Oryctolagus cuniculus: one gene and its partners. The protein of the gene in region 4 purifies or fractionates together with the protein of the main gene of each other region. This does not show direct contact. Links are inferred from orthologs where the notes say so. Each region holds a gene or a part of one and is shown on either strand. Other genes may lie near its edges. The genes, in order: SLAIN2, CKAP5, VASP, TACC3 and ENAH.

What was found.
Region 1: the proteins of TACC3 (region 4) and SLAIN2 purify together in Homo sapiens (co-immunoprecipitation; 3 studies listed by BioGRID and IntAct, counting the BioPlex papers as one, with this or other methods). This does not show direct contact. The link is inferred for Oryctolagus cuniculus from reciprocal best matches to the Homo sapiens genes TACC3 and SLAIN2.
Region 2: the proteins of TACC3 (region 4) and CKAP5 purify together in Homo sapiens (co-immunoprecipitation; 5 studies listed by BioGRID and IntAct, with this or other methods). This does not show direct contact. The link is inferred for Oryctolagus cuniculus from reciprocal best matches to the Homo sapiens genes TACC3 and CKAP5.
Region 3: the proteins of TACC3 (region 4) and VASP purify together in Homo sapiens (co-immunoprecipitation; 3 studies listed by BioGRID and IntAct, with this or other methods). This does not show direct contact. The link is inferred for Oryctolagus cuniculus from reciprocal best matches to the Homo sapiens genes TACC3 and VASP.
Region 5: the proteins of TACC3 (region 4) and ENAH purify together in Homo sapiens (co-immunoprecipitation; 3 studies listed by BioGRID and IntAct, with this or other methods). This does not show direct contact. The link is inferred for Oryctolagus cuniculus from reciprocal best matches to the Homo sapiens genes TACC3 and ENAH.

What each region holds. Positions count from the first base shown.
Region 1 is NC_091433.1:41,593,259-41,599,049, reverse strand, and holds part of SLAIN2 (SLAIN motif-containing protein 2), read right to left. Parts: intron 1,289-5,791; coding exon 970-1,288; intron 1-969.
Region 2 is NC_091432.1:19,173,723-19,179,513, reverse strand, and holds part of CKAP5 (cytoskeleton-associated protein 5), read right to left. Parts: intron 5,742-5,791; coding exon 5,653-5,741; intron 3,755-5,652; coding exon 3,629-3,754; intron 2,534-3,628; coding exon 2,384-2,533; intron 2,093-2,383; coding exon 1,889-2,092; intron 1,737-1,888; coding exon 1,601-1,736; intron 1,475-1,600; exon of another isoform or gene 1,364-1,474; intron 1,163-1,363; coding exon 969-1,162; intron 1-968. UniProt on the Homo sapiens protein: Binds to the plus end of microtubules and regulates microtubule dynamics and microtubule organization. Acts as a processive microtubule polymerase. Promotes cytoplasmic microtubule nucleation and elongation. Plays a major role in organizing spindle poles.
Region 3 is NC_091449.1:11,383,793-11,390,083, forward strand, and holds the start of VASP (vasodilator-stimulated phosphoprotein), read right to left. Parts: upstream 3,698-6,291; 5' UTR 3,359-3,697; coding exon 3,354-3,358; intron 1,988-3,353; exon of another isoform or gene 1,816-1,987; intron 1-1,815. UniProt on the Homo sapiens protein: Ena/VASP proteins are actin-associated proteins involved in a range of processes dependent on cytoskeleton remodeling and cell polarity such as axon guidance, lamellipodial and filopodial dynamics, platelet activation and cell migration.
Region 4 is NC_091433.1:620,894-626,684, forward strand, and holds the end of TACC3 (transforming acidic coiled-coil-containing protein 3), read left to right. Parts: intron 1-115; coding exon 116-221; intron 222-1,718; coding exon 1,719-1,771; intron 1,772-2,385; coding exon 2,386-2,495; intron 2,496-2,597; coding exon 2,598-2,712; intron 2,713-2,797; coding exon 2,798-2,902; intron 2,903-3,303; coding exon 3,304-3,380; intron 3,381-3,488; coding exon 3,489-3,532; intron 3,533-3,812; coding exon 3,813-3,973; intron 3,974-4,862; coding exon 4,863-4,969; intron 4,970-5,056; coding exon 5,057-5,177; intron 5,178-5,257; coding exon 5,258-5,323; 3' UTR 5,324-5,382; downstream 5,383-5,791. UniProt on the Homo sapiens protein: Plays a role in the microtubule-dependent coupling of the nucleus and the centrosome. Involved in the processes that regulate centrosome-mediated interkinetic nuclear migration (INM) of neural progenitors.
Region 5 is NC_091444.1:39,805,734-39,812,227, reverse strand, and holds the start of ENAH (protein enabled homolog), read right to left. Parts: upstream 3,863-6,494; 5' UTR 3,453-3,862; coding exon 3,424-3,452; intron 1-3,423. UniProt on the Homo sapiens protein: Ena/VASP proteins are actin-associated proteins involved in a range of processes dependent on cytoskeleton remodeling and cell polarity such as axon guidance and lamellipodial and filopodial dynamics in migrating cells.

The DNA of each region.
Region 1 (5,791 bases), about 41 Mb from region 4:
GTTTAAATGCTTAGGGGACAAATACTGTTTCCAAGCAAATAAGTATTTCAAGCTTAACTATACTTGACACCTAAATTTACTGATGGTGGTAATCCTGTTCTTGAAAGGTAGATTAAGACTAGATGCAGGAGCCAATGCTGAGGTGTAGCAGGTAAAGCTGCCATCATATGAGTGCCGGCTGCTCTATTTCCAATCCAGCTCTCTGCTACGGCTTGGGAAAGCAGTAGAAGATGGCCTTGGGCCCCTGCACCCACGTATCCACGTGGGAGTCCTGGAAGAGCTCCTGGCTCCTGGCTTTGGATTGACTGGCTCAGCTCTGGCCATTGTGGCCATTTGGGGAGTGAACCAGTAGGTGGAAGATCTTTTTGCCTCTGCCTCTCTTAAAAAAAAAAAAAAAAAAAAGATTACAGAGGCATGATTCCTGTCTTGGTTGAGCTCAGAATCACCTGAAAAATAAACAAACAAGAGATAGCACAGCCACAGATTTTGGGTTTCACACCAGAGCTACAGACTCTGAAGGTAAAACTCAGGCTTCTACTTCTACACAAATTCCACAGATAATTCTGTTATAGCAGGTTTGAAAATCACCCTTATAGATTGCACTCAGAGTTGGAAGAAAGGAGTTTTATCTTAAATATCACTCTAGATTCAAATATGTTTTCATTATCTTTACTGAATATCATATTCAAATATCACAACCAAACTGAATGATTCTAACAGCCTTTTCTAGGAATTCTCTGAGATGCTTCATCAGTAAGGCACTGGGACAAATGTAATCTGAACCATATTGGTATAATATCCCAATAAGGGTATCTTTAATACAGTGAAGTGAGGTTTTATTCAAACTGTGCTGAGACTCAAGTGGGAAGCTACTATGACTCTCTGCTCACTATCAACAAGAAACAAGGCTACTTCCAGTCCACCTACTTTCAGACACTTAAGAATGCCAAAACAGAGCACCCCACTTACCTGCGAACAGGTTGTGCAAGTTTGCTGCGAGGCACTGGTATACCCCCAGCAGAAGGGGCACTGGGTCTGGGCAAGCCACTTCTCATTGCAGTTGTCCCTGCAGGTCTGGTTAGGGTGGTGCTGTTGATATTGCTGGGAGGATTTGCTGGGACTGTGTTCTGAACCATGGGAGGCCCAGGTGAAGAGGTGGTTTGTGTGAGCTGTGTTGTTTCTTGGCTACCAGGAGAGCCAGAGCCATGGTTACTAAAGGCTTTCACTGGTTGCCGGAGAGCCAAAGGAGATGGTGCTGCAGGGGAGCGAAATTTCCCTGGAGAAGGTACTGCGGAACGGCAAAGAAAAAAAACCAGTGTTTCAACCAAAGACCAAGTGTAAGTGAAACTTCTGTTTTATGTTACACCTGATGACTAGGCACTAGTACATCTGTATTCATGAAACATTATGTTGTAGAAACACAGCAAATAAAGGATATTTCTATCCTAATAAAAGGAAAAAGGTAACTGGTAACTGGTAAGTTCTACAAAACCAAGTCCTTAATTGGAGAGTTGTAACTGTCCTTGACAACAGTGTTTTAACTAGGCCAGACTGGATCCCAAAATACCAGAAGATAAAAGGCATATTAAAAGATAAAATGCATACAGGATTCTTCCTCATGGTTACAACTAACCTAGTGAATGCTCTAGAGGTGACAAAAAGGCTGGATACCAGATTGTTACATAGAATTTGAAACACATTTTCCCCTCAAAGAAACATTCACATATGCATGAATCAAGTATCTGGTGACCGTACCTCCATGTCTCAAATCACCACGAGACTAAAAATGTGTAAGAAACCAAAAATTATATAAAAAAAAAACCCACACAATTGCTCATATAGCTGTGCATTACAAAACAGGAAAGTTATAAATCTAGGGGTATATCAAGAGGTAAATGAAGTCACAGGACAAAGATATCTGTTTTTTTAGAATGTCAATTTTACTAGGTAAAACAATTAAAAATTTTTTTTTAATTAATTTGAAAGGCAAAGTGACAGAAGGAGGAAGGAAGGGAGGGAGAGGAAGACAGACAGAGGGAGAGAGTGAAATCTCTCCCATCTGCTGGTTCACTCTCCAAATTTCCACAGCAGCTAGAGCAGGGCCAATCTGAAGCCAGGCACTGCATCCAGGTCTCCCATATCCAGGGAGCCAACTACTTGGGCCAGCATCTGCTGCCTCTGAGGCACCTTAGCAAGGAAACTGGATTGGAATCGAAGGTAGGCACTCCAATATGAGATGTGGGTGTCCCAAGCAGACGTGCATATTCTTGGCTGCCACAACATCTACCTTACATTTTTATATTAAAACAAATATTGATATATGAGAGAGTAAAATGCACAATTTGCATTCATTTTTAAGCCAAAACAAGACATCAAAGAGAACATCCATTTCATACAACCCACATTAGTTTAAGGAAGATACAACTGGAGGGAAAGCATGGACAAGAGATTTGGTCCCAAGACCATAGAGATGGATTATTCTCTAAAATTTCCTTTTCCTCACTTTTACCAATCCATGTACAGGACATAAGTGACAGTAAGGTCTATCACAATAGCAGGTAAAAGAAAGGATGGATGAGTTTGGCTGCCATTGTCATCTGGTCTTTGGAAAAAGAAGAGGATGCTAGCTTTAGGTTCAAGACAAGAGAAATTAATCTCCTACCTCCTTTTCAGTATTTTTTGTACATAGCTCTTTTCTCTCCTAGCTGATCTTATCTACCCTCTGTCTAATCAAAGTTCTAAATATCAGCAACATCATGTTTAAAATATATACTCAGATCATCTCTGCTGGGGTCTAACACTCCCAGCCATGACTTTAAAACTTGACTGTACATCAGAATCCCAAGGAGTTTATACAAATATGAGGGCCCAGCTACCACTCCTGGAGAAACCAGTCTGAAATGGAACTTAGCTATGTATTTATTTTAAAATCACTATTGGATCTTCTAGTCATGACAGTGAAACTGGAGAGATATTTGCTCTCTTGCTGTAAACATCTATAAATGTAGACAAAATACAAACAGCATTTCTTAAATACCGGACAACAGGTAGTACAGGGCTATAATTCCTGAAAGAAGGGAAACAAATTGCTTGAGCCCTATCATCAACCCTGGCTTTTTGGGAAGAGTATAGGGGGTCCAGGAACACTTTGCTTTAAGAGCAGAGAGGGGAATCCCATGAAGATCAAAGCTACCAGGCTGCATTAAGGAGACAACAATCGGAATTTGAAGGGCAGGATATTTTAGAGGTGAGAGCTGCTCAGAACACCTACAGAACTTAGCTTAGGGCTCTGCTTGAATCTTTGGCTGAGTATTGAGTTACCTATGTTCAGGATAAGGCTCTATGAGCCTGGGAGAAAGGAGAATGGAACCTTTGGAAACTGAAGAGCTGCCAAAGCTCACACAGAATTACGACACATTTGAGTTTCAACCACAGAGTAGAATGTCCTTGCCAAACATCCAGCATACACTTAAAGAGGGCCAAGTCTTAATAGGAGGATAAACTAACCCTAGAATAAAGGCTACTCTAAAGTCGTTCTAATAAAGCTTAAAAATAAGCTTCTAGTGGCTGGTGCCATGGTGTAGAGGTTAAAGCCGCTGCCTGCAGTGCTGGCATCCCATATGGGCGCCAGCTCACGTCCCGGCTGCTCCACTTCCAATCCAGCTCTTGGCTATGGCCTGGGGAAATAGTGGAAGATGGCCCAAGTGCTTGGTCCCTTGCACCCATGTGGGAGACCTGGAAGAAGCTCCTGGTTCCTGGCTTTGGACTGGCTCAGCTCTGGCCATTGCGGTCATTTGGGGGGTGAACTAGTGTACTGAAGACCTCTTTCTCGCTCGCTCGCTCTCCCTCTCTTTCTGCCTCTCTGTAACTCTGCTTTTCAAATAAAATAAAAAATCTTTTTTTTTTGGACAGGCAGAGTGGACAGTGAGAGAGAGAGAGACAGAGAGAAAGGTCTTCATTTGCCGTTGGTTCACCCTCCAATGGCTGCCGCGGCCAGCGCACCGCGCTGATCCGATGGCAGGAGCCAGGTACTTCTCCTGGTCTCCCATGGGGTACAGGGCCCAAGCACTTGGGCCATCCTCCACTGCACTCCCTGGCCACAGCAGAGAGCTGGCCTGGAAGAGGGGCAACTGGGACAGAATCCAGTGCCCCGACTGGGACTAGAACCCAGTGTGCTGGCGCCGCAAGGCAGAGGATTAGCCTAGTGAGCCGTGGCGCCGGCCTAATAAAAAATCTTAAAAAAAAAGTTTCTAAAGCAGAGGTCAGTAAATTATCACCCATGGAGAAGTGAGCTGTTTTGTAAATAAAGTTTTATTAGAATATAGTAAGATCCATTCACTTATATATTGTTTATGGCTGCTTTCAAGTTACAATGACAGAGTTAAGTAGTTGCAATAAAGATCATACCACTCCATAAGCCTAACATATTTACTATCTGGTCCTTAAGAAAACAGTCATTGATCCCACGTATAAAGGTTCAAACTAATTCATGGATAACTTAATTGCTTGCCACAACAAAGTTCAACTGCTATTTAAAAGGAGAGAAAATTCAGCAAAGAGCAATGGAAAATTCTACGATGTCTACTATACTAAAGAGGCAAGGACATAATATAAAACATCAGGAGAAAAATTAGTCAATAGAAACAGGCAAGGATTTCAAAAGAATTATTATATATGCTCAAAAATACACAGATGCAAGCACTGAGGAGAGAAAAGAACTGGGTAGAACATTTAAAGACGTAATGCTACAATGTACCCAAAACGCTAAATTCACTGGACAGGAATGGCAGTTTAGATGCTGCAGAAAAAGCATCTGACGACATTAAGACTCATGATCTAAACTAAAGGATTCAGAGGAGAAGACTCAACAAAACAAAAAGATAAAACCTCAATGGTCTTTAGGCCAGTATTTTGTGATCTGATATAGTCCCAGATTTTAGGATGGAATGGTAATGAGTGGGTCTAAAAAACCTTTTTTTTTTTTTTCGAAGAAACAATGGCTTAAAAACTTCCAATCTTAATGAAAACTAGAAAATTATATATCTAAGTAGCTGGAGAAAAACCCTAAGCAGGGTCAAAAAAACAAAGCAGGGAAAACTACACCAAGGAACATCATGATTAAAGTTCTTAAAAAAATTTTTTTTTGTTTCAAATTCATTTAACAGACAGAGAGCTGCCCACAGTGGCTGGGAGTGAGCCAGGCCAAAGCCAGAAAAGGGGAATTCAATCCAGGTTTTCCGTGTGGGCAGCAGGAACCCAATTTCTTGAGCCATTACCCTTGCCTCCCAGAGTCTGTAACTGTGGGAAGGCAGACTCAAGAGTGGACATAGGTAGTGAACCCAAGCACTCTGATGTGCAATGATTTTTCCTTCTTTCTCTTCTTTTCTTTTATCTTCTTTCTTCTTTCCTCGTTTGTTAAGATATCTATATCTATTTGAAAGGCAGAGACAGGTAGATTATTCTTCCTTTCTTCCCTCTCTTCCTCCCTCGCACCCCAAATGGCCACAAGAGCCAAGCCTGGGCCAGGTTGAAGCCAGGAACCAGAAACTCCATCCTGGCCTCCCATGTGGGTGGGAGGGGCCCAAGTATGTGGACATCTTCCGCTGTCTTCCCATGCACATCAGCAAATTCAGCAAATCTGGATTGGAAGTGGAATTCCAGCCAGCCAATATGGGATGTCAGCTGTGCCTTAACCCACTGCACTATGATGTCTTAACTGGTAGTCCAAACACCTACCCCAAATTTCTGAAAACAAATAAATAACTTGGAAATCTTAAAAAGAAAAAAAAAA
Region 2 (5,791 bases), on a different chromosome or scaffold from region 4:
CCATGTGGATGGCAGGGGTCCAAACATTTGGGCCATCTTCTCCTGCTTTTCCCAGGCCATTAACAGGGAGCTGGATCAGAAGTGGAGCATGGGGTGTGAAACAGCACCCAGACGGATGTTGGCATCAGAGGTAGCTGCTATATATCCATGCCACAATGCTGGCCCCCGAAATTCAGGTGTCTTAACCAGAATCTTAACCGCTAGGGCAAATGTCTGCTGTGCTCCAGATCGTCTTGCTCTAATAGGCACCAGTATTCATAGTGCACAAAAGAGTACTTGCTAACTGAAAATTAAACACATTAAAAATTACAGAGCTGGGGCCGGTGCTATGGCATAGCGGGGAAGGCCATCACCTGCAGTGCCAGCATCCCATATGGGTGCCGGTTTGAGTTCCGGCTACTCCACTTGCAGTCCAGCTCTCTGTTATGGCCTGGGAAGGCAACGGAGGATGGCCCAGGTCCTTGGGCCCCTGAGCCCACGTGGGAGATTCCAAGGAGGATCCTGGCTCCTGGCTTCAGATCGGCACAGCTCCGGCCATTGTGGCCATCTGGGGAGTGAACCAGCGGGTGGAAGATCTCTCTCTCTGCCTCTGCTTTTCTGTAACTCTGCCTTTCAAATAAATAATATATAAATCTTTAAAAAAATTTACAGAGCAGATTGCCAGGCAGAATTTAAACCCTAAACTAGCTCAGATTTCTTGATTCAAAAATAGCATTCATATCTAAAGCAAACTGCTATGAATAGAATGCCCGGAAAAGAAAATGTCATGTCCAGTAAACACAGCCTCCACGTCCAACAACAGGCAAAGACGCCCCAGAGTTCTGTCTGGACTTTACAATGCACTGCTGGGCTGAGTGTGCTATCAGAGGTTAAAATCTTAGTTGCAGTTGAGATGGCAGGAAAGCTGACACCTAAGAGATCTTGCAGTTCTTTTCACAACATGCTAAATGCTAAGAAAAATCACTCACATTTCCAATCAGTTTGAACACCTGATCCCCATGTACATTGTACACAGTTACAATGGTGTTGAGGGCAGCATTGCGTACAGCATTGTCACGGTCTCCTATGTGAATAGCTATCTCCTTTAAGGCTTTTCCTGGGGTTGGCTGGCAAACATTCATGCCATAGGACTCGACCAGACACCCCAGCTCTTCCAGGCACTCTGTTGGTGGAGAAAGGCTAGATTAATGAGACTCAACACACATTTGGCATAGAGGTTTATCCTTGCTAGATAGATTTCCTTTGGCCTGTATGAAGGACTAAAATCTTATTCTGGTTCAGTCTAAAATTTTCTCGTGTTTAATGCCAAAGCAACAAAACAATGGTGTTACAGTAAGTGCTGTCCCTGAAAGAAAGGAATGCCTGTGAGTCAGATGGCCCCTGTGCACTTGATTTTGTCACCAGGGTGGTACTGAGTGGTGCCTGTATCACCTGATACTATGGCTCCACCAGTGTGCAACTCATCACTCTCACAGTCTAAATCAGAAAGTTGGAATCCATTAAACAGACACCAAGGAGATGTCCCTGTTCATCTACAAACTATTTCTTCAGGGGTCACAGTGGCAAGGATTTGTGTCTCAATTTAAATTGTTTACTTTACCTGCTCTTTGCTTAGAGTTTTTGGATTTGGTTCCTTCCATGATGAAGGGGAACATCTTGCTGGCTGGGTAGACAAGGCACATCCGGTTCAGGATGGCACGAACATCTTTACGAATGACATCCTTTGGTTCTCCAACCTAACCAACAAGAAAAACAATGATTAAGTGAAGCCTTTTCTGAGTAGCAATGGTCTCTCCTAGGCATTACGACATCTTGAAAGGTGAGTATTAGGACAAGTAAGGTCAGCTGAAAGTTTAAGCAGTTCCCTGGAGTGAGAACAACAAATTACCTTGAGAATGAGATAGGGAATGAAGGAAGCGGCTTCATTCTCAGTCAGATGATATTCCTCCTCACTTAGCAGAGTGAAGAGCAATTTTAAATATTCTAGTGCTTTCATCAGGACGCTTGTATTGGTGTCAAAAAACCGTAGGGTAAGCCATTTCAAGATGAGATCCAGGCAACCAATGACACCTTCTTTTTCACTCTCCAAGTGCTTCAAAACAAAACAAAACTCCCACAAATAAGAGTGTATAAAAACATACGTTCCATCAGGCAAAGTACCTTTAAATTTTAATGCAGTGCAAAAAGAAAAGATTTTTTTAAGTCTCCAATTAAGAACTAAAAGATATAAACACAGTCTATCAAATAATTTAAGACAGCTGTAAAAACAGAGAACATGGTGTATTCTACAGCCTTTTCAAGTCATGCAAACTTCTTGTTATTTCATAGGCTCAGTATTTTCAGTTTTGCCTGAGATGTGTATATTTATCTAACACAGACTTACATCAACCATGACGGCCAGGGCTTTGTTATGATGCTGGAAGTCTGAGTGAAACATCTCATCTTGTAACCATTTAGCCACACAACTAGACATCTGAGTCTTTAGCTGCTCGATGTATTCGTCCCGAGGGGCAGTAAAATTCCACTTCAGCACCTGAAAAACAAAACAGCACACACAAAGTAAAAAGAGGTTATAATGTGTTCAATTGAAATGAGGTAAAGAATCTTATTTAGGGGCCGGCGCTGTGGTGTAGCGGGTAAGGCCGCTGCCTGCGGTGCCGGCATTCCATATGGGTGCCAGATCAAGTCCCGACTGCTCTACTTCTGATCCAGCTCTCTTCTACGGCCTGGGAGAGCAGTAGAAGATGGTCCAAGTCCTTGGGCCCCTGCACCCACGTGAGAGACCTGGAAGAAGCTCCTGGCTCCTGGCTTCGGATTGGCAAAGCTCCAGCTGTTGCGGTCATCTAGGGAGTGAACCAGCAGATGGAAGACCTCTCTCTCTCTAACTCTTTCAAATAAATAAATAAATCTTAAAAAAAAAAAAAAAAAAAGACACCATGTACCAAATGATTAGGGATCAGTGTCATGGTGAAGTGGGTAAGAGCTGCTGCCTACAACACTGGGATCCCATATGAACACCAGTTTGAGTCTTGGCTGCTCCATTTCCAATCCAGCTCCCTGCTAATGTGCCTGGGAAATCAGCAGAAGATGACCAAGCTCTTAGGCCCCTGTCACTCTTGTGGGAGACCCAGAAGAAACTGCTGGCTTTGAAACAGGCCAGCTCCAGCCACTGTGGCTATTTGGGGAGTGTACTGGTGGACAGAAGATAGATCTTTCTCTCCCTCTCTCTCTGACTCTTTCAAATAAATAAAAGCCTTTATTAAAAAAAAAAAATTAAAGAAGCCAGCCCATTACTTATGTTCAGTTGATTTAAAAAAAAAAAAATCAATGGATATCTTCATTCTTTGATTTAAAAAAATACAAAAATAAAACACCAAAAACTACTAAATACTTTTTTTTATTTAGATAAAAATTAAGCAAATAGTTCCATTCTGTAGTTTCTATAATAGGAAATTAATGCTTCCATAAAATAATCTTTTTATAAGCAAAAGATTCAGATAATTACTAGATATTTCACAATAATAAATATGAAATATTTCACAATTAAGATTTTCAAAAAGCAAAATTAACTTTGCTTAACAAAATGAAAACATGCAAAAACTCTTGAAAACCTGTATCCCTTCCTTACCTTCAATCCTTTTTCATCCTTCATCCTTTGCTCCTTTCCATTTGGAACAACAATAAAAATAGGCCCAGATTTGTCTTCATCTTCCTTTAGGCTGGTTTTGCTCGGTACTTTCTTTCCTTGTGCACTCTACAATCCCATTCAGAGAATACTGATTAGCTATATCATTTCTCCTGGGGAATATGCTACTGTTGCCACTGAAAGGGCACATTAGAAATTACCACCCTCTACATCATAGGCCACATGAAATAGCAGTCACAGAATTTGCATCTAATCATGTTTTTATACAGCTTTTCTAGAAATGTTTCTAATGTCATTCTTAAATAATTGTTGGATAGTTCTTGGACTGGCATGCAATATAGCTGGAAAAGCTGCTATTTTATAGCATTAGTCTGGATCACAGACTACTTTCTTTTCCTTGTTAAAGATTTATTCAGGGGGTTGGCATTGTGGCACAGCAGCTTAAACTGCAGCCTATGGTGCTGGCATCTCATTGGGCACCGGTTCGAGGCCTGACTGCTCCATTTCCAGTCCAGCTTTTTTCAACACTGTAACTTTCCATATTAGTGACATTTCAAATACCATTTACATATTAGCATTACTTAGCTGAGAAAGCTTTTCTGCTTCTCTCCAAATTTAAGTGTACCTCACAGCAGTACAATGGGATACCTTTTGAACCTGTTTCTTGAGAAAGGTGCTAGAAACAAAAATACTTAAGTAACTAAGTTTTAAAAAATAGCTGAAGACTTAGAATCTCTATCAGAAGGAAAGGAAATGTGAACAACAGCACCCTTGAAATAAAATTTGAATTTCATTATTGAATCACGGTTATTACAAATGCTGCAAGAGTTCACCATTTCTAGTTAGCTAGAATTTCTTTCTGGTTGGAACATTGAAGTCATTCAGTCAAAACAAATATGAGATCAGTTATGTGAAACTGCATTGTATATTGCAAAAGACTGGAAAATTTTTTGTAGCCAAAAATACTTCAGAGCACTTGTGATCAAAACACTAAAATAAGCACTTGTTAGAATTTGGAATGAGGACAGGGAAGATAGGAAAAGAGCAATGTATTGGATAGTTTAGAAGATAATTATCCACCAAAATGAATGCAATGAGGTAAAGGGAGCCCACCCTTTGATGGGGGTGCAATAACACATGCACTGGCTAACAAAAGTCCCTACTCCTCTATGTTTTCCTGAATTACATAGAATTAATCAAATAGTTTCCTCTATTTAGAGTTACTATTAATCATATAGTTATACAATTTTCCACTGAATATAGCAACCAACTCAGAATCTTGATTTCAGAACTTATGACAATCTGCTGTGCTTCCCCAAATTAAATTAAAAAATCACTCAGGGGGTTTTTAAAGTTGAGCATTTGAACACAATTCTTTAAATTATCCAGAAAATAAGTTGTGGACACCTTAGAAAGAGGATGGAACACTTTGAGGAAGGGATATTTCAATGAGTTACACCAAAATGCCTATTTGGACTTAAGAGATCAAGTTAGTCTTCATACTTGCAGCACAGTTCTGGTATACAACACTGGGATCCCATATGAACACCAGTCTGAGACATTGACAGGATTGGTAACGCATCAAAATAAATCCCACTGGTTTAGGGACAAAAGTTATTTCCTTGCAGACTAATCAGAACACCTTCTAGTAGGATGACTTAACTGTCAAATTTGAAGGAAGCTGATAACCTTCCTTTGCTCAAATCCAAGTCAGCATTAAGCATTTATTCTGCCATCCCTATATGCTTTCCTTCCCTTTTCACTACTGCAAATATTCCCCAGAGATAAGCGTGACAGGAACTAAAACAGTATTTCTTGAGAGCAGGATGTTTCTTTTGGGAATTTTTATAAATAAGCTGCAGAAACTTGATGAAACCTGATAATCTGACACTATCCAGAATGGTGATATTCTTTCATATATAATAGGATCTTTCCTAGTAGGAAGACTCAGCGTACAAAACACACCTACAAGCAAATGTACATCTATGTGTGCAGAGCTAACATACCTTTACTTTAGAGGAAACTCCTGGAGCTTTGGCCTTTTTGGGATCAGGCTTGGGTTCTACAGTGTTGGAAACAGCATCTTCAACAGGCGCTTCAAGAAAAAAAGGACGTGTTATAAATGTGAACTCTTACCTAACATCA
Region 3 (6,291 bases), on a different chromosome or scaffold from region 4:
GCAGGATCCACACCAGGTTCCTGCCGGCCTGGGTGCCCTGCCTGCTCTCCAGTCTCCTCTCCCAGCGCCCACTGACCAAGGCCTGCCCGAGCCCTGTGCAGGTGCAGCCCCCTTCAGACGTCACCTCTTCCCAGAAGCCCTCCCTGGCCACCTCATCTTCCTCCGGCTTCCCCGCGACACGGTTTCCAGCAGCGTCCCTGCTTGGCACGCGCCTGTCTGCCTTGCCAAAGCACCAGGTCCAGCGGGGCAGGGATACTCGCCCCTCTGCGCACCACTGCGTCCCCGGAACCTGGAGGGCGCCTAGCACACGCTCTGAACACATCCGAGTAAAAAGGCAAACCCGGCGGCACAGTGGCTGGCGGCCCAGACCGCGCTCCCGGCTCCCACGACCCCACAGCCTCAGGAGACCAACCCCGCTGCCTGCCCGGGCACAGAGAGGTGAAGACACTTGGCCCAGGTCACACTGCACGAAAGCACCGGGGCTCCTGTCTGATCTCATTTAAGACGCGAGCCCACTTACTCCAAGCCCACTTACGTTTTAACCTCACGGAAAGATGAGGAAAAGGCTGGGTGGCTCAAGAGTCTGTCTTTCCCCCAAAAGTGTGGAGGCTGCTAACAGCGTCACACGCTGTGGCGGGAGGCGGAGGCAGGCTGGGGGCTGGGGGCCGTGGGCACGGGGCCCTCGCTTCACTCTTCCTTTTGCTAAATGATGGGGCTGGGATGACCTGTGGAGACCTAATTCCTTACTTGATTACGTTTGGGAAAAAATAAATAAACTCAGCAAAAGCCGGACGGGAAACCCCACAGGCAGGAAGCCAGGGAGAGGGACGCCAGTGGTCCCCTGGGGTCTGTCAGTGAGCGCCTCGGTCCCCCTGCCCATGAGTCGCCTCTGGGGGTCACCCGCTCAGACACCACAATCACACAAATTCTTCCAGGCCAGAGCCCTGCGACCCGGAGCCCCGGCCCCGGCCCAGCCCCCCAGCCCGGGGGTCTCTGGGGGTTGTGCGGCCTGTCTCCCACTGGGAAGTCGGCAGGCGAGGCTTCCCAGGCAGGCCCCCACCACACCTCTGGACCATCCCGCGTGTCTGTGCAAGGAAAACGCGTCATCCGCACTTTCTCTGTACTGTCCTCTCTCTGCGACAGCCTAAGAGGTCGGCCGGCTGCAAACTGGGGGCAGGGGTGACTACAAGGCTGTAACAGCTTCCGCCTCTTGAAACTGTGCCAGGACGCCGGCTCGGAGCCGGGACAGGCTGGCCACACCGGGCAGGTGCTCACCAGCTGGTCTCCCGTCGCCTCTCGAGTAAGAGCAGTTATAGCTGCTACCCCGCTAAGGCATAGCCCCTCTTCCCAGCGGCTCCCGCCCCTTCTCCACCTCCCCCAGGATCCCAGCGCCGGGTCCCACTCAACAAATATTTGTCAGAGGAGAGAAAGAACTGGTCTTGTGATTTTCCATCCCTTCCAGCTGAGCTGCCCCCGGCCAAGCCGTGGCCAGCAATCCGACCCTCCCAGCCTCCTGCCCCGGGGCGCCCTGGCCTGGGAATTTCTGCAGGATCCGGCTCCTTGGCCGGGATTGGGGGCGTGGACCGTCGGAGAGGAAGTCGGCTGTAAGCGAGCAGGGGAGACCCTCTGGTGGGACAGGCCAGGGTCGGACTCCTGCCATCCCCCAGGAGGTAGGAGGCCCCACCACGGCCACAGCCACAGCGGGAGGGGGCCCTGGGAGAGGGCCAGGGCTGGGGGTGGCGGGGGCAGGGGGCTGGGCCAGACACTGCTCCTGCCCTTTTACGGTCGGTCTCACAGCGAGCGGGGCGGCCCTACCTCGGACATCCGCCATCCGCCTTCCACGGGGCCTGGGACCGGAAACGCTGGGGGGGAGGGGCGGAGTCCCGGGGGAGGGGGGAGAGGGTGAGGGAAGCAGGCAGCCCCTGGGGCAGGCCCAGAAGGGATGTTGCCCCGCAATGGGGAAGGAACCGGCAGGAAGTCCCCAGGGTGTCTGGGGATGCCCCCTCGCCCCAGAATTTCCACCCAGCCTTTAGCAGAAAGACAGCCCTGGGGCGGGTGGTAGGGGGTCTTTAATGGTCCCAAGAAAGGAATGCCACCCTGAGGTCAGAGGGCAGGGGTGTGGGGGCCCGGGGGGAAGGGCAGGACGTTGGGCACCAGGGGGTTAATCCCCAGCCGTCCCCAGGAGCCCCCCCACCCCCAGCGCTGAGGCTTCGGGGCAGGAAGTCCCAGAGAGAGTGGAGGAAGGGAGATAGTATTGTCAGACTCCAGCCCCACGGGAGAGGTTATGGGGGACCTGAGCGGGGAGCGGGGAGGGCCGCCGTGGGTACCCCCCCAGCCCGCACCGGCCCGGCCTTCAGGTGAGCCCAGGAGTCCAGGGCAGGTCCTCGGGCCGCTCCCCCCCAGGATTAAATTCCTGGGAAGAGCGCCGAACTCTCGGGAGGCCTGGGTCCCAGGGGGCGAAGGCTGTGACCTTGACGCTTCCCCGCGCCCCTTCCTCCAATCCCACGGCTCCCGAGCGCCGGGGGGGAGGGGCCGCGGCGGGGCGAGCCCGCCCCCCCACACCAGCTGTCTCGACAGGTGAGTCAGGAAGACAAAGGCCCCCTCCCCCCAGCTGCCGCGCCCCCTCCCCGCCCGGGGCCGCGCAGGTGGGGACCGGGGCCGCCCTGCTGGCCCGGCGCCGGGAGCCGCCCTGGGCACCGAGCGGCGAGCGCTCGCCCCGTCCTAGGCACGGCCTGGCTCCTGCACAGCATGCGCGGTGGAGCGACGGGGGAGGGGAGCCCCGAGCAGCCCCGCGAGGCTGCGCCCGGCCCGAGGGTCCGCGCACCCCGGGGAGGATCCCAGCGCACCCCCGGATTTAGGGGGTTAGCGGCACCCCGAAGTTAGGAGCGCGGCCCGCCCCACTTGGGGAGACTTGGAACGGGGGACCCTCCCAATCAGGATCCGCGTCTCAGCGTCCGCTCCAGGTCCCAGGTCTCCCCGAACGGCCCCCAGCCACCCCTCCAGGACCCCCCCAGGTGCGGTCTGGGCGGGTCCTGAGAGCCGCCTGCACCCCGGCATCCCCGCGAGGAGTCTCTGCCAACTTGGAGGTCCTCAGAAAAAGTCTCTAAAAAAATTCGGGAGTCTGCCGAGCGCCCCCAAACCTGAAGGCTCCCAGGAGAACCTGCCCGCGCCCACCCCGGGGCTCGCGGGTCACGGGGAGGCGGCCGCTGCTCCGAGCTCGTCCGAGACGATTCGGCCCAGACCCGAGCCCCCCCCCCAGGGCGCGGGTCCCCGAAGTCCAGCCCGGGCCGAGCGGGGGGAGGGGGACAAAGGCGGGCCGGCGGGGAGGGGTCCGGAGGCCGCGCGGGGCTCACCTCATGGCTGCGGGGCGGGCGGCGGCGCGCCCGCGGGCTCGGCGCTCCCGGGGCGCCCCTGGCTCGAGCTGCGGGGGTTCGCGGCCGGCGCCGGGTTCCGCTCAGTGTCCCCCGGGGTCCCGCCCCATAGAGTCCGGCTTCCTGGGGGGAACGGGCGCCGGGCCGGGGCGGCTTCTCGGGCGCCGCCTCCGCCTGGGGGCTCGGTGCGGGGGGTGCGGCGTGCGTCCCCGGCGCGCCCCCTCGGCCGGCGGCCGCCACCACCTCACTCTTACTACTGTACTTCTCTTCGCTACATTTCCTTCCAAAATTCCACTCCCCGCTCCCACAATGCCTCGCGCCTTAAAGGGGCCGCGGCGCCCGCGGGCGGGGGGCGGCGGCAGCGGGCGCCGGAAAGGGCCGCGCGCGAGCCCCGCACTTCCCCAATCTCGCTGTCCGCGGCGGCCCTGCGCGGGGGCTGCACCCTGGGCGTCACCCCCGAGCCCGCGGAAGGAGGGGGCGAGCCCGCTGGGGTGGGGGTGCAGGGAAGGGCGCCCTCCGCGACCCCAGCGCCCTCCCGCCACGGGGGTCTCGGGGCGTCTCGGCGGGGTCGCGGCGCCCACCGACGCGTCCATTCCCAACGTCCTGCTGGACTTCAGGGGGAGAACACGGGGAGGTGCCCAAACTTCCCCTTTAAATCCCCCCACTCGGACGCCCGCTGCCACCACTAACACACACACACACTGCGTCCCCCTCCTCCGCAGACTGACGAGGGGTCCCGGAGGGGCGAGCCCCCTCCCCCGCGCGGGGCCCCACCCGTCTCCCTGCCCCCCGCCGGCCCGGGAAGGTGAGGAGGAAGTGGGCCGAGGGGGCGCGGCCGGCCGCTGACTCACGGCCGCGGGGTCGGGATGGGGGCGGGGATTGCCCGAGGGCAGGGTGGGGGGTGGGACCCCGGCCCGAGGCGCGCCCCGGTGGGGCCTCCCACGGAGGACGGCGTGATCCCAGCGGTCGGGTGGGCCCGCGGCCGGGGGACCCTCCCCCACACGCCGGCCCCGAGGAGCACCGACCCCCCCCCCCGGCTTCCGCAGCGGCCCCGCCCCGTGACGTCACGTGTCACGCCCCCTCCCGCCCCGAGCCACCTGGCCCGGGGTAAGGTGCGGGCCCCGGGAAGTCGCAGCCCGGACTTTCCGAGTGGGTGAGCCCAGGCTCGGATCGGGGGTAAGTCTGGGGGTCCTCTTGTCCGAGCCCCCAGAACCCCGAAAGCCGAGGCACGGGGAGTAGAACCCCAAAACTGGGGGGCGCAGCGTGCGGCCGCGTGTGCCCCGCACCTGGGGGATCCTCGTCCCGGGACCAGTCGCCGGCCTGCGTGAGCCACCCGCTCGGGGAGACCTGGAACCCCGGTCCAGCGAGGGTGTCGCGATTTCTGGGCCTCCCCGAGCCCAGCCCTCAGTTCTCCATGACCTTGGGCAAGGCCTCCGTCTCGATTTTTCCACCTGTGAAATGGGAGGGGTGACAGTTCTGGGGGGCCAGCTGCACTACAGGAGGGGGGCTTTTCCTGTAAAAGGCAGAGAGAGAAACTTCCATGTGCTATGCACTCCTCACATGGTCCTAGTGCTGGAGCGAGGGCCCAGGGACGCCACTTGGGTCTCCCTCACCGATGGCAGGGCCCACGTCCTTCCCCAGGTGCGTCAGCAGGGAGTAGGGCAGCTGGGCAGCCGGGACTGCAGCTGGCGCTATAGGGGGTGCCGGCGCCACAGGCTGCACCAACTGGCGCTATTGGATGCCAGTGCCACGGGCGGCACCTGCGACCGCAGTGCCAGCCCCCACAAACTTTGTCTAGAACACTCCAAATGGACATATTAGACCTAAGGTCTGGCTGGCTTGCATTTTCTTTACCCTTTACAAATATACATTCTTTTAAGATTTATTTATTTATTTTGAAAGGTAGAGTCACAGAGAGAGGGAGAGACAGAGATCCATCTGCTGGTTCACGCCCCTTAGAGCCACAACGGCCAGAGCTAGGCCAGAGCTGGGCCGATCAGGAGCCAGGAGCTTCTTCCGGGTCTCCCACATGGCTGCAGGAGCTGCTTTCCCAAGCTCATTAGCAGGGAGCTGGATCAGAAGTGGAGCAGCCGGGGCTTGAACCTGTGACCTAACCCGCTGCGCGGCAGCACCAGCCCCCTAAACAGGGCTCTGAGCTCAAGTGCTGTACAAAGCAGGGGCCAGGGGCCAGCACTGCGACGCAGTGGGCTAAGGGGCTGCCTGCAGTGCCGGGCAGCCCCACTTCCCATGCAGCTCCCTGCCGGTGGCCCTGGGAGAGCAGCAGGTGATGGCCACCCACGTGGGAGACCCAGATGGAGCTCTGGCTCCCGCCTTAGCCTGGCCCAGCCCTGGCCTTTGTGGGCATTTGAGGAGTGAACCAGTGGATGGAAGATTCCTGTCTGCCTCTCTCACTTCTCCCTTTCAGATACATTTTTTTTTTTTTTTTTGACAGGCAGAGTGGACAGTGAGAGAGAGACAGAGAGAAAGGTCTTCCTTTTTTTGCCGTTGGTTCACCCTCCAATGGCTGCCGCGGCCGGCGCGCTACGACCTGCGCACTGCACTGATCCGATGGCAGGAGCCAGGTGCTTCCCCTGGTCTCCCATGGGGTGCAGGGCCCAAGTACTTGGGCCATCCTCCACTGCACTCCCTGGCCACAGCAGAGAGCTGGCCTGGAAGAGGGGCAACCGGGACAGAATCCGGCGCCCCGACCGGGACTAGAACCCGGTGTGCCGGCGCCGCTAGGTGGAGGATTAGCCTAGTGAGCCGAGCCACGGCTTTAATAAATACACTTTAAAAGTGTAAACAGCACTAGGAGCTCCAGGTAAGGAGACCCCTGCAGGAGAGACGTGGGATTCACAGGCCGCGCCAGGGCCCGGTGAGGGCGGGCAGGCAGGGGGGGACGGTGACCTTGCACTTCCTG
Region 4 (5,791 bases):
GGCGCCCACCCCGTGCCGCCTGCCATGTGCCCTGTGAGGGGGAGTGGGGCGGGAGAGGCCACAGGCGCTGTCGCTGGCGGCTGGGGCACACCGCCCACTCCGACCTCCTCTCCAGCAGGGAACCCGGGAGTCCCCCAGCACGCCGACGCCCAGGAGCTGTCCGGGCAGGGGGCCTGTGGCCCTGGAGCTGGAGGAGGAGAGCTTCAGAGACCCCGCCGAGGGTGCGTCCTGGGCCGCGCTCACGGGCTGACGCTGTGGCCACAGTGTCACGGGCAGGAGTGGAGGGAGCGGGGACCCTGGTGGCGGGAGCCCTGCCGAGCGCACAGCTCGCCCCCGGGTACGGGCGGTGGCAGTGCAGACCTGAGGTCCCAGAAGGCTGCCCCGGAAGCCGACAGGCATGCGGTGACCTTTGGGGCTGAGAAGGCGTCGTCTCGGTTTTGGTCACTTAGAAACTCGGTCGTGGAAGGCTGGGAGTGGAACGGAGGGGCCTCAGCTGGAGAGGCCCCCCACCCCGTGGGCCCTGGGCAGCCCCGCGCCCTGCCTGTCCTGCCCGCGCCCGGGCTGGGGGCGACTGCCTCCCTCCTGAGGGCTGGGGGCCTTCACAGTGCTGCGTCCCCACGTCCCTGCACCGGCCCAGTGGTGTGGCGGGGCTGCCTGTGGTGCAGCTGCCCCTCCCTGACACACGTGGGCGTCGCATGCTCCAGGGCCATCTGTGCGTGAATGTGCAGAGCCATGTCTGTGTGTGTGTGTGCAGAGCCGTGTCCTTGTGTGTGTGTGTGTGTGTGTGTGCAGAGCTGTCTGTGTGCGCGTGCACAGAACAGTATCTGTGTGTGTGTGTGTGTGCGTGTGCAGAGCCGTGTCTGTCTGTCTGTGTGTGTTTGTGGGCAGAGCCTTGGTCTGCTGTCCTGGGGCCATCTGTGCACCGTGTGCAGAGCGATGTGGCGTCGGTTTCTCCGTGGTCATCGCCTGCTGGCTGAACGCCCGGGGAGAGGGGCGCTCGCACGGAATGTGTGCACGCGTTGTCCTCGGCAGTCCCTGATGGCCGGTGCTGCACACCGGGAGGCACGGTGCCGTTTCTGGAGTCGGTGGTCTGCACCCCGGCCCCCGCAGGAGCTCCTGGTGTGGGTGCCATCCCACTTGTCTCCCTCCTCAGAGACTCGTTTACTTACTCGAGAGGCTGAGTGACAGAGGTCCTCCATCCGCTGGGTCAGTCCCCAGATGGCCACAGCAGCCGGAGCTGGGCCAGGTAGAAACAGGAGCCAGGAGCTTTTTCCAGGTCTCGCACGTGGGTGCAGGACCCAAGCACTTGGGCATCTTCCACTGCCTTCCCAGGCCACAGCAGAGAGCTGGGTGGGAAGTGGAGCAGCCGGGACTCGAACCGGCGCCCATGTGGGATGCCGGCCCTGCAGGCTGGGGCTTTATCTGCTACATCAGAGCGCCGGCCCCGATAAGTTGATTTTGTGAAGGGTTTAGGCCCCTCGAGGTTTTCCAGCCTCGGATGACGTGACAGGTGTTTGTTCTGGAACAGCTGTAGACGGGCGCTCACCCCAGCAGTGCCTCGGGTGCCGCGCTCGGTGCCCCCGCCCCGTGAGAGCAGTCGGCTCCCAAGTGGCAGAGGCCTGAGCCGTGGGCCAAAGCTCTGGTGCCGGGCTGGGCGGAGGGCGGGAGGAGGGTTGGCTCCCAGGGCCCAGCCGGGCCCCCTGACCTCTGCCCCTCAGTCCTAGGCACGGGGGCCGAGATCGATTACCTGGAGCAGTTCGGGACCTCCTCGGTGAGTGTCCCGCGGCACCCTGGCCACGCCCCCCCAGTGTGTGTCCCGCGACACCCTGGCCACGCCCCCCCCGTGTGTGTCCCGCGGCACCCTGGCCACGCCCCCCGTGTGTGTCCCGCGGCACCCTGGCCACGCCCCCCCCAGTGTGTGTCCCGCGGCACCCTGGCCACGCCCCCCCAGTGTGTGTCCCGCGGCACCCTGGCCACGCCCCCCCGTGTGTGTCCCGCGGCACCCTGGCCACGCCCCCCCGTGTGTGTCCCGCGGCACCCTGGCCACGCCCCCCCGTGTGTGTCCCGCGGCACCCTGGCCACGCCCCCCCCAGTGTGTGTCCCGCGGCACCCTGGCCACGCCCCCCCGTGTGTGTCCCGCGGCACCCTGGCCACGCCCCCCCGTGTGTGTCCCGCGGTACCCTGGCCACGCCCCCCCGTGTGTGTCCCGCGGCACCCTGGCCACGCCCCCCCCCCCCCCCCCCGTGTGTGTCCCGCAGCACCCTGGCCACGCCCGTGCTCCAGCCCTCCCTGTGCTGCCGGGGCTGTCCGGTGTGGCCAGGGCGGAGGGCGCGCTGGGGCGTCCCCGGGCCGCGTGGAACCCGCTGAGTGCCCCGCCTCCCCCAGTTCAAGGAGTCGGCCCTGAGGAAGCAGTCCCTGTACCTGAAGTTCGATCCTCTCCTGAGAGACAGTCCTGTGCGACTCGTGCCGCTGGCCACGGCCGCTGAGGCGGACAGGTGCGGGCAGGGTGGACAGGGGCGGGCGGGCAGCAGCACGGGGGGCCCCGTGCGAGCAGACGCGTGTGGGCTGACCCAGCCGCCTCGCTCCTCGGCCCCCAGCACGCAGGTCGCCGCTGAGCCCTCGGGGGGCCCCCTGGACACGCTGCTCGTGGACCTGGACCTCGGGGGAGCCCTGCCTGTCCCTGTGAGCGCGTCGGGCCCCCTGGAGCCGCAGGTCGCTGACGGTGGGGGCTGCTCGCTGGTGCTGGGTGGGAGGAGGCGAGGCTGAGAGCCTTGTGACGCGTCTCTCATCCCTGCAGGTGCCGGCCCAACCCCTGTGTATCCTGGAGCCCAGCTGTCCACCCCTGCCCGTGGGGCCCATCGTGGACGTGCTGCGGTACAGCCAGCGAGACCTGGACGCCGCAGTAAGGGGCAGGCCGCCCTGGGGCTTGGCGGGGCGGGCGCAGCCGCGGGGCACACCTGAGCAGGTGGCAGTGGGGCCTGGTGTAAGTCCATCTGCACCATCCTCTGGGTTAGGACCCCAGCCTCTGCCCTCAGACACGCAGGGCCTCGGCCGTTGGCACCTGGTGTGCCCGGCTAGAGTCACGTGGGGCTGACGGGCACACCGGGAGGATGGGCGCTGCGGGGCCTCTGCTGGGCTGTGCCGTGGCGGGTGTCACGATCCAGCGTGTGAGGCATGTGAGGCAGGTGGCCTCGGCCTGGCCAGGGCCCCCGGGGTCCCCTGAAGCCCCGTGGAGCCCGTGACTCCTGACGTTGCTGTGGGGAGGGGCGGGGCGTGCAGCTCCCGCGTGTGTGTGATTCCCAGGTGCAGGCGGCACAGCAGGAGAACCTGGAGCTGAGGAGCCGGTGTGAGGAGCTCCACACCAAGAACCTGGAGATGGGGTAAGGCCGCGGGCCGGCGGGGCTGGCGGGGCCCGGGGCTCGTGGGGCCGGCGGGGCTGACGGGGCCCGGGGCCGCCGCGGCGCAGCACTGACCGCCCTCCCCCGCAGGAAGATCATGGACGGGTTTGAGGGGATCGTGTACCAGGCGATGGGTAAGTGCCCCGCGTGCCTCGTCCGCCCACGGCCACGGGGCTCTGGGCAGAGCTGTGCTGGGCCCCGTCCTGTCCCCACCGGCTGAGTGCGTCCAGCAGCCCCTGTGGTGGCCGGGCTCGGGCCGCTGCACTCGCCCCTGTGGGACTGCGTGAGGGCGGGTGTCCGCTGGCCCCGTGCCGGCCTGGCCCATGCGGTGGGAGGGCCATCTGGCGGGCCCGCGCTTGCCAGCGCCCTGGTGCCTGGCATGCCGGCGCCCCGACCCGGCTGCTCGCTCTGCAGAGGAGGTCCAGAGGCAGAAGGAGGCTGCCAGAGCGGAAGTGCAGAAGGTCCTGAAGGACAGGGAGCAGCTCGCCGCGGACCTGAGCTCCACGGAGAAGTCCTTCTCCGACCTCTTCAAGCGCTTCGAGAAGCAGAAGGAGGTGATCGGCGGCTACCGCAAGGTAGGGCTGCCCGCTCCTCGGCCCGGCCTGGGGCAGCCGTGCCCGGGGGGCCGCAGCGCGGGGGCGGCTCTGCCGACTGCAAGGACAGCGAGGCTGACCGCTGGCCTGGGGGCCTCCGTGGGTGCCTGGGGTCAGGGTGAGCCGCCTGTCTCCATCCTCAGGCCAGTGGCTGGTCCCCAGCCGCCCACAGAAGTAAAGCGGGTACTCCATGGGGGCAGCTCTGCAGAGCGCGTCGGGGAGGGTCGTGAGCACAGAGCCGGGCAGGAGACACCCCCAGGGGCCGCAGCAGCCCCCAGCCCTGTCGGCACGTGACGCGCTATCGGCTGTCCTGGCGGGGGCCGGAGACAGGGCCTCTCCGACAGGGCCGTCTGCCCCGGAGACGCTGCCTCCCTTGCCTCGCCCGTGCCCGTGCCCGTGCCCGTGCTGGGGAGCTCCACGGGCGCACTGAGAAGCCACTGTCCTGTGTGCAGAGGCAGCGCTGGGCTGGACGCCGGGGGCAGGGAGGAGCTCGGGTCAGGGGGCGTGGAACCGGGTGCTGCCCATGGCTGCGGGCAGCAGGTGGCGGGGAGGGGACCCCCGCGGGGACGCCCGCTGCGCACAGTGGCGACTTCCCAGCCAGCGAGGGGCAGCACCTGTGCAGAGGCGAGCGTGTCAGTGTCGGTGCAGTGGGCGGGGCAGCCAGGGGAGCTCGGGTGGCAGGCGCTGGGCCCTGCTGAGCCTGGGGGGAGGCGGCTCCCACGCCAGGGCCACCATGCTGGTGTCAACTGCCAGCCTGCAGCCCGTCCCCTCTACCGTGCCCAGGCACCAGGCAGGCCTTGCCTCACCCCTTGTCAGCTCGCAGGGGTGGCTGGGTGGCGTGAGAGAGGGCAGCTGTGGGTGCTCCCCCCAGAACGAGGAGTCGCTGAAGAAGTGCGTGGAGGACTACGCGGCGCGGGTGGAGAAGGAGGCCCAGAGGTACCAGGCGCTGAAGGCCCACGCGGAGGAGAAGCTCAAGCTGTGAGTGCTGGGGGGGGGGGGGGGGCGGGTGGAAGGGCGGGGCCAGGCGGAAGGGCGGGGCTCAGCCGCTGCCCTCTGTCCGCCCAGGGCGAGCGAGGAGATCGCCCAGGTCCGCAGCAAGGCCCAGGCGGAGGCCCTGGCCTTCCAGGCGAGCATGAGGAAGGCGCAGATGCAGATCCAGTCGCTGGAGAAGACCGTGGAGCAGAAGGTGAGGCCCGGGCCCCCGGCCGCCCCCAGCCGCCCCCAGCCGCCACCCGCCCCCAGCCACGGCCGCTTCCCTCCTCCCAGGTGAAGGAGAACGAGGAGCTGACGCGGATCTGCGACGACCTCATCTCCAAGATGGAGAAGATCTGAGCTCGCTGCTGCTTTCAGCCGCTCTCTTTGGCTGCTGAATAAAGTTCCCCTTAGGCTGCCGTGGGCTGTCGCCGTCTGGACTGTGCAGTGTCCCCAGCAGTGAGGGCACCGCTGGGCGGGCAGGGCAAGCTGGTGGCCCCGGGAGGCCAGGGGAGCCCCAGACGCTGGACATGGTGCGGCCACGGCACCCGGCGGCCAGCGCGTGCGGCACTTGGGTGGCGGGGAGGACCCAGAGCAGTGTGTCCCTGCAGAAGCAGCCCCGTGGCCGCCCCTGCCCCCAGCGCGGCCCGGCTCTCTGCTGTCCCCAGAGAAGCAGGAGGTAGAACTGCTGCCCAAAGCCCAGTGTAGACAAGCGGCAGCGTCTCCGAGTGATAGTCGGGGCTGGCTGCAGACAAGGCCCCCACTCGTGCCTCACCCCGGAGCAGCCCTGCTCCTGGGGGCACTGAGGGGGTTCCGCTGAGCCCCAGG
Region 5 (6,494 bases), on a different chromosome or scaffold from region 4:
GGAGCAGCCACTTCTGGTGCCCATATGGGATGCCAACATCACAGGCAGCAGCCTAACCCACTACACCCCAACACCAGCCCTGGTCTTTACTCTTTCAACATGTATTAAAATTTATCTAAATGTTATGCCATTCTTCATCACTTATTCGTACCTCTAACTTTATTAAAGGGGTATAAAAATATATTGTATAGAATACAAACTTGTTCAGCGTACCGTCCAATATTTATTCTTAGCTAACAAATTAAAAGGAGAAAGCCTAAATCAACAATCTTGGGTTTAACTGTTATTAATGTATTCAAAAAAGTTATTGAAGTCTCTGATTATACTCAACATAACAGAAAGTGCTCAGGAAAATGTGCCCTGAGTAAAATGAGCTTACACTTCATTTTTTGAGAGAAAATTAAGTCTGATGTGTCAAATGAGCTGATGGCCAACAGACGCTGTAAGTTCAATGGAGAAAGACAGTCTGGAGGGACAACCAAAGATAAACTAGAAGAGAAAACTGAAGTTCCCTGGAGGGGAGCTCAGTGAAGCCAGCTTTCCACAGAATACAGTCAACACACTTAAGAAGACAAAAAGCCCATCTCTATCTTTGGGAAACAATAAACAAATCCTTCTGAGGCCAAGTCAGGGCACAGCAGGTAAAGCCATAGCCTTTAATGCTATGATGTTCATTCCCTGGCTGCTGCACTTCCAATGGCTTGGGAAAGCAATGGAAGACAGCCCAAGTGCTTGGGCTTCTAGACGCACATGGAGACCCAAATGAACCTTCTGGTTCCTGGCTCTGGCCTGGCCCAGCCCTGGCTGGGGAGTAAGTCAGTGAATGGAAGTTCTAACTCTTTCAAATAAATAAATCGTTAAAAACAAACAAACAAACAAAAACAGAAAGTACAATGAAAGAAGTAAGGCAGTCATTGAGGAGAAGGAGGACATGTTCCTAGGGATGCAAATAATTTGTCTACAGTCAGGGGACCTGTTTCTAACTTAAAGGTTCATTCTTAATTTTTAAAATAGAGAAACTCGCCGGCGCCACGGCTCACTAGGCTAATCCTCCGCCTAGCGGCGCCGGCACACCGGGTTCTAGTCCCGGTTGGGGCGCCGGAGTCTGTCCCGGTTGCCCCTCTTCCAGGCCAGCTCTCTGCTGTGGCCCGGGAGTGCAGTGGAGGATGGCCCAAGTCCTTGGGCCCTGCACCCCATTGGAGACCAGGAAAAGCTCCTGGCTCCTGCCATCGGATCAGCGCGGTGCGCCGGCCGCAGCGCGCCTGCCGCAGCGGCCATTGGAGGGTGAACCAACGGCAAAGGAAGACCTTTCTCTCTGTCTCTCTCTCTCACTGTCCACTCTGCCTGTAAAAAAAATTAAAAAAAAAAAAAAAAATAAAATAAAATAAAATAGAGAAACTCTAAAAACTAAACAGATGCTTGCTTAATATTCAGGAGCCTGAACTGTATTTTTAAAAAATACATATGGTATGACAAAAAGAAAACAAGTAGAATACACCAAATCCATAAATCCTCTCAACAAATGACAAGTCTCAAAATAAGACAATGAATTATTAGTCCCATTCTGCAGAGAAAGAAATGGAGGTTCAGGAAAGTCAAGGCCTCAGAGGCAGTGAGCAGAACGACTCTGATTCTATTACACGATCTTCCCCCAAAATGAAAATGCCTCAAAAAATTTTCATATCCAGAAGGAAGATAACATTCAGAGAGCTTTTCCTTAAAGGAGAACAAAATAGTAATTCACAAAAGCAATACAAAATAACAGCATGAGATCTACTGCACACCATGGTAAATATAGTCAAAAATGATGCACTGTATACTTTAACAAAATTTCAAATGTACCACCAAATGAGGTGGCAGACATGCTAATCAGACCGATTTAATCATTTGCATTGTATGCTGTACATTTATTAAAGCCAACACCCCGTATTCCATAAAGTTATGATATCAATTAAAATTTTAACTTTTTTAAAAGTTAGATTGTTAAAAAAACACTGGAAATCTACTAAGTGACATAAGTACTAGAGGATATTTTAAGAAAAATTTAAAATATGGTAAGAATGACATTACTCAGAAGAGAATCAACCACAAATGTATGAAATGCTCTCTTCCCTCATGGTACTATGTACTGCTCTCCACAATTCTTTTATTTTTTTAAACAGCTTTAATACATACTTGTGAGCAGAATCCTCATGGCTTAATATCTTTAAAAAAAAAAAAAAGATTTACTTTGAAAGTCAGAGTTACACAGAGAGAGAAGGGGGGAGGGAGGGAGAGGGAAAGGGAGAGAGAGAGAGAGAGGTAGGTCTTCCATCCACTGGTTCACTCCCCAATTGGCCATAACTGCTGGAGCTACGTCAATCCGAAGCCAGGAACCTCTTCCGGGTTTCCCACGTGGATGCAGGAGCCCAAGGACTTGGGCCATCTTCTACTGCTTTCCCAGGCCATAGTAGAGAGCTGGATCGGAAGTGGAGCAGCCGGGACTCGAACCGGTGTCCATATGGGATGCCAGCACTGCAGGCAGCAGCTTTACCCATTACGCCATAGCGCTGGCCCCTGCCACAACTCTTGAAAACCGATTACATCCTCCCCCACTAAACTGTAAGCCTAAGGAAATGGGTCATGTCTCTGCACAACTTTCTTTCCTTTACTTACTTACAATAATTGTATTAACAATGTTCTTTTCCTTCTAGCTTATCCTTTAATTTTTTGTCATTTTTACTTATTTATCCTTTTGAGAGGCAGAGAGAGAGAAAAATAGAGACAGAGGGCTTCCATACACACTGGTTCACTTCCCAAATGCCCAGAACAGCCACATCTGGGCCAGGTCAAAGCCAAGAGCTGAGAATCAATCCAGGTCTCACACATGGGTGGCAGGGACTCAACCTCTTGAGCCATCACTTGCTGCCTCCCAGGGTGCACATTAGCAGAAAGCTGGGATCAGAATCGGAACTGGAACTAGAACCCAGGCATTCAGATATGGGATGCGTGCACCAAGTCACATTTAAACTACTAAGCCAAATGCCCACCTCTGTAATGGTTTTTGAGGATTTAACTTATTGAGCCATGTTATTAACACTGGATTCACAAAGTAAGAATCATCAAGACTTAGGCTATGATAAACTGAAACTTCACCTCAATTCTAAGAGCATCACAAGCCACTGAAGTGTTTCAGACATGAGGCTGCACTGATCAAACCTGAATTTCAAGAAGCTCTCTCCGACTGTAGCACAGTTACCAGACTGGATTGGGATAACAGATCAGTAAAATAGAGAATTCCAAACAACATATATGTAAAAAATGTTATATAAAATAAAATAGGTAGACACAAGGATCTTAACACAACAGCTCATTGTCAGACTCCAGAAGTTACCAGGGAAGCAAAAGTAATCCTAACATAAAAATATGAAATAATGAACTAACCATGTAGATAATGAGTCCCCAGCAAACATCCCTTCCAAGGCAGCATTAGCCTTCACTTCAGTTCACTTCACGTCTGCCCTGTCAGTCTCTCACTGATAGGCAGCTATTTCAATCCCAAAACAACACAATGCAAATCACCTACAAAGTTTAAGTGTAAACCTTTCAGAGAGGCATGCCTTTATGATGTCACTGAAAATGATGAAAAATATTTCTAACCAATAGCAAAGCCACTGACAAAAGTAAAGATCTGAGAAGGATACTGAGTAAAGGGGGCACGAGGGAACTTCACAGGGTATAAGTATGTTCCGTATCAGATGTGTACACATAATAAAAATTTACCAAGCCGAATGTACACTTGTGATTTGTGCATTCAGCTGTTTGTAAATTATACCTTAAGGGGTCACATAAAGGAAAATGAGTAAAGATGAGCCTTCTTCCTCCAAGAATTACTGGGTCTGGATATGAGACTAGCAATCCTATGGCCTACCCTGCTGCTATGGATTCCTTCTGAGAGGAGTGTGGTGGGGGCAAGAGGCGCGGAGTCACCACATAGACCCTGGGAGTCAGGTGAAAGGGGGCCAGAGGCGAGCAGCCCACAGACTCATTGGGGTACAGCAGCTTAAATAGCCAAGGCAGCCAATCTGGTCAAGGGGTGGTTTATGCCCTAACCAATCACAGCCTGTTGCCAGGCAGGCTCCGTTGCCAGGTGGGTTTCAAAGCCATTCCTGAGTAACTGACACTTGCTTGCCAGTGGCCATCTTGGCATGGCCTTCTCATTCCACACATTTCCCCCTTTTCATTTATTTTCGAGCAACGGGAGGCATGATTCTTGGCCATACCATTGTTGACCCCGTTTCCACGTGGTCTCCGTACGCGGCTGTGCCTGTCTTAGGTTGTCCCCCAGGGGATCTTACCCATCATTGACTAACCAGCGCTCAAAACAGGAGACCACAGGAGTGCTTGCTCAGATGGGGGTAGGAATGAGGAACAATGGTTATCAGGAATGGCATGACTGAACACAGGCTGTGGGCTGTTCCAGTGGCTGACCAGAGCTAGTGGGGCAGGCTCCATTGCCATGTGGTTTCCAAAGCCATCCAATCACAGCCTGTTGCCAGGCAGGCTCTGTTGCCAGGTGGGTTTCGAAGCCATTCCTGAGTAACTGACACTCACTTGCCAGCAGCCATCTTGGCATGGCCTTCTCATTCCACCACACTACCCCACTATCAACATGAGGCAGAGAGCACAATGGCTGAACCACCAGGGGCCTGAGACACCAGTGAGCCACTGACTCAGCTGTGTCTGGAATGTACCCCATCTCTGGACTCCCAACCATATGAGATAAACTGTCTTAATGTTTAAGAACCTTACATCTGGCCGGCGCCACGGCTCAATAGGCTAATCTTCTCTGCCTAGCGGCGCCGGCACACCAGGTTCTAGTCCCGGTTGGGGCGCCAGATTCTGTCCCGGTTGCCCCTCTTCCAGGCCAGCTCTCTGCTGTGGCCCGGGAAGGCAGTGGAGGATGGCCCAAGTGCTTGGGCCCTGCACCCCATGGGAGACCAGGAGAAGCACCTGGCTCCTGCCTTCGGATCAGCACAGTGCGCCAGCCACGGCAGCCATTGGAGGGTGAACCAATGGCAAACGGAAGACCTTTCTCTCTGTCTCTCTCTGCCTGTCCACTCTGCCTGTCAAAAAAAAAAAAAAAAAAAAAAAAAAAAAAAGAACCTTACATCTGTTACTTGCAGCTGCAAGCATGTAAATGATTGCAGAAGACCAACAGAGAATACTAGCCCCTCAAAAGAAAATGATTTGAAAAATCAAAGGAAAGCATCTAGGAAAACTAATAAAGCCCTTGTGACCATTTTGGCAAAAAGGACTTTATCATACAGCAAAAGTCCATAATAACATGAACAATATATAGTTTCATGCTGCCTTCAAATTTTGCCAGAAAAATTATGCAAAAATATTCTTAAAGCAACCCACACTTGATTCATTCTTCTTCTACTCTTAAGAATTTTAGACACAGTCACAACTATAACACAAATGTTTTCATAATTTTGTTGCACTTTTAAAGATTAAATCCAAATAAAACATTCTCTCTCTACCCCTTCTGTGCACTATTATCTCTGAAATGTTCTAGGTCACTTCATTCTACATTCCCTGTTCTTTACCAATTATTTTCAGAAAATAAAGACTCCTTACATGATGAAATCATGACCAAATACTTCACAGACACTAAACTTCAGGGGCTGGCGCTGTGGCATAGCAGGTGAAGCTGCTGCCTGCAGTGCCAACATCCCTCATGAGCACTGGTTCAAGTCCCAGCTGCTCCTCTTCTGATCTAGCTTTCTGTTTATGGCCTGGGAAAGCAGTAGAAGATGGCCAAAGTCGCTGGGTCCCTGAATCTGCATGGGAGACTTGGAAGAAGCTCCTGGCTCCTGGCTTAGGATCAGCCCAGCTCCAGCCATGGCCACCAATTAAGTGAACCAGCAGATGGAAGACCTCTCTCTCTCTCTGTTGTATCTCTGCCTTTCAAATAAATAAATAAATCTTTAAAAATGACACTATATTTCCATCTTCCACTTTCAGATGGCTTCAGTTTAATGAAACTATAAGTGTAATAAAAGAGAATGTAGGTGAATATATATGTGAATTTTAGGTTGGGAACACAGGACACCATAGACAGAAACTATGAAGACTGATGGACTGGCATGAAATTTTAAGACTTCTAAACCAAGACAAACAAAGAAGCACCTGGCTCCAGGCTTCAATTTGGCGAAACTCCAGCCATTGCAGCCATTTGGAGAGTGAACCAAAGGACAGAAGACCTTTCTCTCCATCTCTCCCTCTTACTGTCTGTAACTCTACCTCTCAAATAAATAAATAAATAAATAAAAAGTGACAAATTTGGAGATGGTGCTGTGGTGCATCAGGTAAAGCCGCCACCTACAACGCCAGCATTCCATATGAGCACCAGTTCTAGTCCCGGTTGCTCCACTTCCAATCCAGTTCCCTGTTAACGCGCCTGGGAAAGCATAATATGGCCCAGGGCCTTGGGCACCTGCACCTACATG